2 linked regions of the Ovis aries genome follow. The protein of the gene in region 1 binds, or shares a complex with, the protein of each later gene. Links are inferred from orthologs where the notes say so. Each region holds a gene or a part of one and is shown on either strand. Other genes may lie near its edges.

Region 1 (4,300 bases):
AACAGTATGACTCTACATCTGCCCAGTTAACACATACTTAGCTACCTGCCAAGTTTAAAGTGAAAGTGAAGTCGTTCAGTCGTGTCCGACTCTTCGTGACCCCATGGACTATACCCTACCAGGCTCCTCTGTCCATGGAATTTTCCAGGCTAGAGTACTGGAGTGGGTTGCCATTTCCTTCTCCAGGGGATCTTCCCAACGCAGGGACTGAATCCGGGTCTCCCGCACTGAAGGCAGATGCTTTACCCTCTGAGCCAACACCAACGTAATAACATGCCGGCTTGCAAACATCTCCAGCACAAACAAGTGGCTTTCTGGACCTACCAGTTTTATATTTCTCTTGGGAAGGACCAGGTGTGATAGAATTGGCAGCTTCCCTCTACTATCCAATTTGTCAGAAACTCCCTAAAAGCTGGCTAATCAGAAGGCGGGGAGGGAGGAAGGAGGCATTGTTTTGGAAATGAGCTGGATGGGCTATGGCCTGGTGGGAAAGAGAGGCTGTCATAAACAAGGGGGTGAGGGGCTGCAGATGCTCAGATCTAAGGCACAGGAAGCCATGTGTCTGGCAGAGAAAGCCCAGTTCTCCCCCAGGCAGTCCCACCTACCCAGGAGTCCCCTCCCCCACTGCCCCTGACCATCTGCTCCTGGGCTGAGGGGCCAGGGAAGGGGACTGGAGTTCTGTATGCCCCTCTTCCCCCAAGCCATACAGCTGCTGACTCCCCCACCTCCCAGTGGAAGTGGGCGGGGGGAACCAAATGGGGAGGGCACAGTAGAGAGGGTCAGGGGACCCCAGAATCTACGATTGTATACTCACCGTTGTCGAATTCATCGGGAATCTGGGAGGTAGAGAGAAAAAAGAAGGGTTTGGGACGGCAGAGGCAAAACCCAGGCAAGGAATCTCCGGGGCCCTGGGAGGAGCAGGCAAAGGTCCCTGGGAGGGAGGGTTCACTCCAGACCAGAAAGGAGCCTGAACAGACCAGATGGGAGGAGACCCACAGGATGCGACCCCTGGTAAGGCCTCTGTGTCTCTCTCCCACTCACCTTGGCACCATTTTCATCCACAGCATTGTTTCCTGCAAGGGAGATAGTGATGAATGAGAAACTTGAGGCCTGGTCTCCTGGGACTTATGGGAGGAAGAGGGCAGAGGGCCTAGCCTCCTGGGTCTGAGGGAAGGGGGCTAGAGGTATGGTCTCCTGAGAAAGAGGAGGGGGCTGGTAGCCAGAATATCTGGGTCTCTGAGACAAGGAGGGCTGGGGCAGGGTCTCCTGGGTCTCTGAGGAATAAACAGACTAGAGGGAGGACTGGAATTTTGGGTGCTGAGGGAAAACGTAGCTTAGGGGGCTGGTCCAGACCTCTTCTTCCCCCCTTTAAACTGACTCCCTATAGCTTAGTACAGGAACCAACTAGAAGGAGTAGAACCTTGAGCAGAGGGGTAGTAGGGGGATTTCTCTCATTTCCAAGTTCCAGTTGGCTGCCCTGAGGGAGGAGCCAGGGAAAGAAGATGGGTGAAGTCCTTAGGGGAAAGAGGGGGCAGTCCCCCCAGCAGAACAGAGGGCCAAGAGAACATAACTGGGGGACAGGGATATGTTCCTCACCGAAGATATAGATGACGCTCACGGTCCCACCAGCCCCAAGCAGCCCAGCGAGCCAGAGTGCCACTTTTTTGGCATAGCTGGGACCCTCAGAGCTTCTCTGCTGCTGTGGTCCCTGCGTCTGGGCCTTAGTGCCTGCTCGGCTCCCAATCTCTGCAACCTGCAATTGAGAGGGGGTAGCTTGGCCAAGAAAGAAGAGAAACAAGGTCGGGGTGTTTCCAGCACCCTGGTCTAAGAAGAATCAAGGTTGAGAGCCAGGAAGAGGACACCCATATGGCCTCCAGGTGTTGTGTGCCTAAAGGGGCAGGTAGGGGACTGGGTCTCTCAGAAAAGTCAAGAACTAAACTGGCGCTATGATCCCAGGGGTTCAAGAGATGACAAGCCCGGGGCCCAGGATCCTACAGAACCGGAGCGCGGGTGGAGAAGCAGGGAAGGGAGATACGATCAGGGACCCTGACTGAACACTGACTAAGATTTCTGGAGCAAGCCACTGAAGGCCACGCAAGAGGACAGGACGGGGAGTTAAGTCCTCCGGCCGTCTGGAGCTCACAGTGGCGTATGGAGGGGGACGGAAGGGAGGAGCAATAGCCTGCTAGGACTTGGGGAGCAGGGCACAGAAGTAATGGACCCGGAGGTCAGAAGGGCACGGTCTCTGTCAAGATGGAGGCAGGTCGAATCAGAAGACCTAGCAACACCACCAGCACCACGGCGGGGAAAATACCGCGAGGCCAGGCTGGGACTCCAGTGTCCCGGGCCCCTCCCCCTCGAGTATTACCTGAACCGTCACCGAGACAGGAGAGCAGGTGACCCCTCCTTCCCCGGCGCCCACGTGGGGTCGAGAAGCTGGGGTCCAGAAGAGGTGGGATCCAGAGGAGGTAAGGTTCAGAGGACACACTTGAGTCCCCAAGCATCTATCCCGGGGAAGCAAGGGCTGCCAACCCCGGGAAGCGGGGAAGAGACTCAAAACGCGCGTGGCGTTCCATTCAGCACCTTGAGGTGCTGCGTTCCAGAAGCTCCGGGCGGCCCCGGCCCGCCCGGAACCACAGGAAGGAGCCCCAGCACCCGGGGACCAACCCCATCCGGCTCACCTGGTCCGGGGCCCGAGGGGGCGGCGTCGCGAGCCTCGCACACAGCCCCCGCGCGCCTTGCCGGAGCCCGCTCCGCAACCGCAGGAACAGCGCCGCCGAGGCCGCCATCTTGCGCTGACGCCACGCGGCCCCGCCTCCTCACTCTCTCCCCCCGCCCCGGGCCGGGGCCGCGGCCAATGGTAATACAGGGGCGGGGTGGGTGGACGGGAGCCCGAGAGAGACAAAAGGCTGCGGGCTGGGAGTCTCCCGCCGTCACGTCCTGCTCAGGCCGGAGGGCGTTCCAGCGCCCGCGCCACAGGACGGGGCGGGACACCCACTGCCCGGGGTCAAGCGGAGGCCATAAGGAAGGGACCTAATTGTTGCTGGATTTGTCCTAAAAACTAAAAGCCAGCTTCACACACCTTCCTCACGAGCGACCGAGAGGTCTCATCCGCCTTCCCTCCCCTTCTCCCAGCCCTTTCTTGCTTGAGTTTCCTAAACTGGGTCTGGAAAGTCAGCCAGTTTCATGGAGGCTCAGCCAAACGAACCGCTGCGGGCTCAGGGTATTGAGAGGAAATCCGAGAATTAGAGGCTACGGGAGCCATGATTAATCTTCCACATGTAAATCACCACACGGCATTTAGGGATAAATACTAAGATAATAAGGACTTCCCAGGTGGCTCAGTGATAAAGAATCCGCCTGACAAGCAGGAGACGCAGGTTCCATTCCTGGGTGGGGAAGATCCCCTGGAGAAGGAAATGACAACCCACTCCAGTATTCTTGCCTGGAATATCCCATGGTCAGAGGAACCTGGACTACAGTCCACGGGGTCGTCGGTCACAAGAGTCAGACAGGACTGAGCGACTAAACAACAGCAACAACTAAGGTAGTAAACATACGAAGTCAGGTGAAAGACACAGAATTTTAGGGTTGTGTTACTTCTGGAGGGAAATGGACTGGTCCTTCTTATTTGGTACACAGATAGCTCCTAAATTGGGTGGTGGGGACATGGGTGCTCCTGACATATCCTTTAAAACATTTGAACTATTTTAATACAAGTTATATTACATTTGTAAGAAGACGTGAACATCAAATGAGAAAAGTGAAGGTGGTTAAGGTACTAAGCCCCATTCTCTACACTGCTCCCCAGCCCCACCCAAGCCCTTAGATGAGCTACAGCGATTCTGAGGTTACTGCTAGATGGACTCGAGGGAAAGGACCATCAGATGCTGGAGCCTGCACCATAGGTCCTATTTAGATTTGTGGAGGGATTGTTGTTCCACCACTCAGTCATGTCCCAAGTGTTTGCGACTCCATGAACTGCAGCATGCCAGGCTTGCCTGTCCTTCACCATCTCTCGGAGGTTGCTCAAACTCATGTCCATTGTGTCAATGATGGCATCCAACCATCTTGTCCTGTCGTCCCCCTCTCAATCTTTGCCAGCATCAGGGTCTTTTCTACTGAGTCGGCTCTTCGCATCAGGTGGCAAAAGTATTGGAGCTTCAGTTTCCGCATCCGTTCTTCCAATATTTAGGGTTGATTTCCTTTACAATTGACTGGCTTGATCTCCTTGCAGAGGGGACACTAATTTTCACCTAACACAGCTCAAGCACAAGTTAGATGTAACTTTGTCAATCAC
Region 2 (4,251 bases), on another chromosome or scaffold:
GGGCTCAAATCTGAAATGTGTGCCCTTGAGTGAGTTATTTACCCTTTCTGAGCTGCAGGAAATGGAAGACAAGAATCCTAGAAGTACCTGGAGAAAGAAGAACGCTCACTGCAAGCGCCATGGAGTTACTGAAGACGCCAATACGATGGCGCGCACAAGGCAAGGGGCGCTGCGAGCACTTGGCCTGTCCGCGCCGTTTACGGCCTCCCCAGCTTCCTCCCCAGCTTCCTCCCCGTCAGGGAGGCCGGAGGTTCCTCTGGCGAAGCAGACTCTGCCTCTGAAGCCAGCCCCTGGCCTGGCCCACACTCCTGGGAGGAGCGGAGAGCCCCAAGAGAGAGGGCAGAGGGCACACATCTTCCTGAAAAGAGGGTGGGGGAGGGGGGAGAGGGCAGAAAAGAGCCCACCTCCCCACCCCCACCCCTGCCCAGCCTAAACCCCCATCAGGCCCCAGTCATAGACCAGAGCCCCAGACCCAGAGCCGGAGGTGGTGCCAGCTTCACTCATCCATCAGGCCAGGTGGGGCTGGGGGCGGCGACCTTCTGCTGGGTGGAGCTGTTGAGGCACCCAAGCCTCTGGCTCACTGGAGCTCAACCCACTGGGGAGTAGGACCCTCTAAGGGGATGTCGGTTCTGAAAACGTGCATCCCTCTGCAGGTGTGAGTGTGGAGAAGGCTTCTCCCTTGCATCCTCCACACAAGATGCCATCAGTCTGTGAGCTCACTGTACATCGCTATTACCCTGGAGGGCAGACAGTCTGCTCAAGTGAGGGGAGAGAGAGCTGTACCTTTAGTGTCCTGGAGCTTGAAGACCCCTGCTCCAGGGGCAGTCCTGCCTCAGCCTTGTCAGGAGACCTGCTTATAGCAACGGTTTCCAAGGGGAGACCTTCTCATGCTCCGGTGTGTAGAAACCCCCACGGGTCACAGCGTCCCAGATTATCAAAAACATTTAAGGGACACCCACTACTTCCCAGCGCTGAGAGTCAAAGGACCTGGGCACTGCCTGCCCTCAGGAGCTCCGGGAAGTCGGTGGGGCCTCACCCACCCAGACGAAGTAGGTAGCATTCATGCACACTTGACAGCCAGGTGCTAGAACAAAGAAACGGGTCCAGGAGTTAGGGGAGCTCCAGCGGAGCAACCCGGGCGGGTGACTTCAGTGATGGGTACCTCTCCGCACCTGGAGCCCCGCCCCGCCCCCGGCACCCTACGCCCCGCCCCCGGCACCCTACGCCCCGCCCCGCCCTCTGCGCCGGAGCCCCGCCCACTCCCAGAGCCCTGCCTTCCGCCAGGAGCCCCGCCCCCAGCCCCGCCCCGCCCTCTGAGCCGGGGTCCCGCCCTCGCCCCGCAGCTCAGTCCCCGGCTCCGATTGGCTGCAGCGGGAGGCGGCCAGCCAATCCTCGCAGAGTCTAACGCTCTCCTCCTGGGATCACTTCCGCCGCCGGGCCGGCCCCGCTCTGTTCGCCCGGCATCGCGGAGCCGCGGAGGCAAGATGGAGGAGTACGCGCGCGAGCCCTGGTGAGCCTGCCTGCCGCCTGCCCCGCTGCCGCCTTCGGCCCCGGATCCCCGGGCCCCCGCGCTCCCGGTTCGAGGCCGCTCTCAGCTGCGGGCTGGGCGGCGCCAGGGGCCGGGGGCACCCGGACGTGAGCGGCCGGCTGGGGCCGCCGGAGCTGTTCCCGGTGACCTTGCGGCGGCTCGAGGGCGCCCCGGCTCGTCTGTGTCGCCGCGACCCCTGCCCGGCGGCGTGTGGGGAGCATCCCCGCTGCCCGCTGGCGATCCTGGGCTCGTCCTTGCGTCCGCGCGGCTCGCCCTGCGAGGGGAGGCGGCCGTGTCCTGGGAGGGTCCGCGTGGCGCGGCGGCTGCGGTCCGGGCGGTGGGGAGCGGGCGGTGGAGGGGGCCCCGCGTGGTGGGGACGGGACGGCGCGCCCAGGAGAACGGGGAGAGTGGAGTGTGCTCGCCAAGGCGCCGACAGCGGTCCGTTCGTTCGTCTGTCCCAGGAGTGAAAGCGTGGAGGAGTTCAAGCCTTCTGGGGTCAAGAATGACAAATCAGATCTTGTTATTTGAGTTCTTGTGCAAGAGTGCAGGGGCAGGAACCAGGGTGTTCTCCAGCTGTGTGAAAGGGCCCAGGGCTTTGACACTGCCCGAGCTAGCCAGGCTGCTGCTTCCTGCTGTTGTCCTCTCTGAAATGAGACAGAGCGTGTGTTTCAGCGCCTCCCAGCTCTTTAAATTTATCTTCTCCAAAGACAGTGGCCCCCCTTCGTGGGTGGTGCTCAGGTGTGCAGGGCTCAGCGCGGCGCCGCCGTTGTCACTTGCTCCTCCGTATGTGACACGGGGCGGTAGGAGGGGGAAATATGTGACTGTGTTGGGTTAAAGATTTTAGAATATTAAATTTCCATTCTCTATTCAGTTTGTTCAGTCTCTAGGTTGTGTCTGACTCTTTGCGACCCCATGGACGGCCGCACACCAGGCTTCCCTGACCTTCACTAGCTCCTGGAGTTTGCTCAAACTCATGTCCATTGAGTCGATGATGCTGCCCAACCATCTCATCCTCTTTTGCCCCCTTCTCCTCTTGCCCTCAGTCTTCCAGCGTCACGGTCTTTTCCAGTGAGTCAGCTCTTCACACCAGGTGGCCAGAGCTTCAGCTTCAGCCCTTCCAGTGGATATTCAGGGTTGATTTCTTTTAGGATCCATTGGTTTGATGATCTTGCAGTCCATGGGACTCTCAAGAGTCTTCCCCAGCACCACAATTTGGAAGCATCAATTCTTCGGCACTCAGCCTTCTTTATGGTTCAGCTCTCACATCGGTACATGAATACTGGAAAAACCATTGCCTTGACTATACGAACCTTTGTTGGCAAAGTGATGTCTCTGCTTTTTAATACACTGTCTAGGTTTGTCACAGCTTTCCTGAAAGGGGGCAAGTATCTTTTAATTTCATGGCTCCAGCCATCATTCGCAGTGGTTTTGGAGCCCAAGAGAAGAAAGCCTGTTACTGTCTCCACTTTTCCATCTGTTTGATGGGACCCGACGCCATGCTCTTGTTAGTTTTTTGAACGTTGAGTTTTAAGCCAGCCTTTTCACTCTCTCACCTTCATCAGGAGGCTCTTTAGTTCCGTCCTGAGTATGTCATAGCTTCATCTTCATCTCACTCTTTGATCACGTGTTCTCAGAAGCCCTTGGTCTGTGGTAGAAAGAACTTGGGGGGTTTGTATTTGAATTGGTTCTATCAATACCTGTGTGATCTTGCTCAAAGCGCTTCATCTCTTAGCCTCTGTTCATCTGTGAAATGGAGAGGAAACAGGAATATTCTTTTGCAAAGTTAAAAGACTAGGCACTCTATAAGGGCCTCCCTGGTAACTCAGATGGTAAAGAGTCTGCCTGCAATGCAGGAGACCCGGGTTCAATCCCTGGGTCGGGAAGATCCCCTGGAGTAAGAAATGGCACCCCACTCCAGTATTCTTGCCTGGAAAATCCCATGGACAGAGAAGCCTGGTGGGTTGCAGCCCATGGCATTGCAAGAAGTCGGACATGACTGAGCAGCTAACACTTCACTTCATAAGGAAATAGGCTGGCTTTCCAGAAGGTAAGGCTGTTTGCGTCATAAACCGCCTAAACCGTGTACTGTGCAGCCGCTCAGTCTTAGCTGACTCTCTGCGTCCCCATCCCCTTGGACTGTAGCCGCCAGGCTCCTCTGTCCATGGAGCTCTCCAGGTGAGAACACTGGAGTGGGCTGCCAGTAGATCTTCAGGGGATCTTCCCGACTCGGAGACTGAACCTATGTCTCCTGCACTGGAAGGAGGATTCTTTACCACTGAGCCACCGGGAAGCCCACCGTATTGGGTATTTAAAAATGGTAACTTTTGATCATGTGATTCATTATTGGTTCCCTGTTGCCCTGTGTTTGCCTGGCATTTATGTTTAGAGTCTGGGCTCAACTTAGCTTTGTGAGGGACACTGATTTCCGCAGACGCGGTTCGGAAGCTGTTTCCGTCTTGCATTTTTTTTATTATTATCTTTTTTTTTTTCATTTGTTTTAGACATCATCTTGTGGAATACTGTGGCTGCTCTCTGATCTGAATCCTGCTGTTTTTTACTGATTTTTAAAATGCTCATTTCCGTTCTGATCGTAGGATCATTAACCTTTTACAGCTAGTGACTCTCCTTTGTCTTTTTTTTCTTTTTTTCTTGGCTGCACCAAGTAGCTTATGGGATCTTACTTCCCCAGCCAGGAATCAAACTCGGCCTCAGCAGTGAAAGCA

What was found. Proteins that work in one complex are often made in the same cells at the same time.
Region 2: TIMM50 (region 1) and TIMM17A share a complex: the UniProt entries of both Homo sapiens proteins name them as parts of the TIM23 complex. The link is inferred for Ovis aries from reciprocal best matches to the Homo sapiens genes TIMM50 and TIMM17A.

Annotation. Positions count from the first base shown.
Region 1 is NC_056067.1:48,516,280-48,520,579, reverse strand, and holds the start of TIMM50 (mitochondrial import inner membrane translocase subunit TIM50), read right to left. Parts: upstream 2,801-4,300; 5' UTR 2,790-2,800; coding exon 2,682-2,789; intron 1,754-2,681; coding exon 1,597-1,753; intron 1,074-1,596; coding exon 1,042-1,073; intron 837-1,041; coding exon 815-836; intron 1-814. UniProt on the Homo sapiens protein: Essential component of the TIM23 complex, a complex that mediates the translocation of transit peptide-containing proteins across the mitochondrial inner membrane. Has some phosphatase activity in vitro; however such activity may not be relevant in vivo.
Region 2 is NC_056065.1:79,927,939-79,932,189, reverse strand, and holds the start of TIMM17A (mitochondrial import inner membrane translocase subunit Tim17-A), read left to right. Parts: upstream 1-1,451; 5' UTR 1,452-1,484; coding exon 1,485-1,510; intron 1,511-4,251. UniProt on the Homo sapiens protein: Essential component of the TIM23 complex, a complex that mediates the translocation of transit peptide-containing proteins across the mitochondrial inner membrane.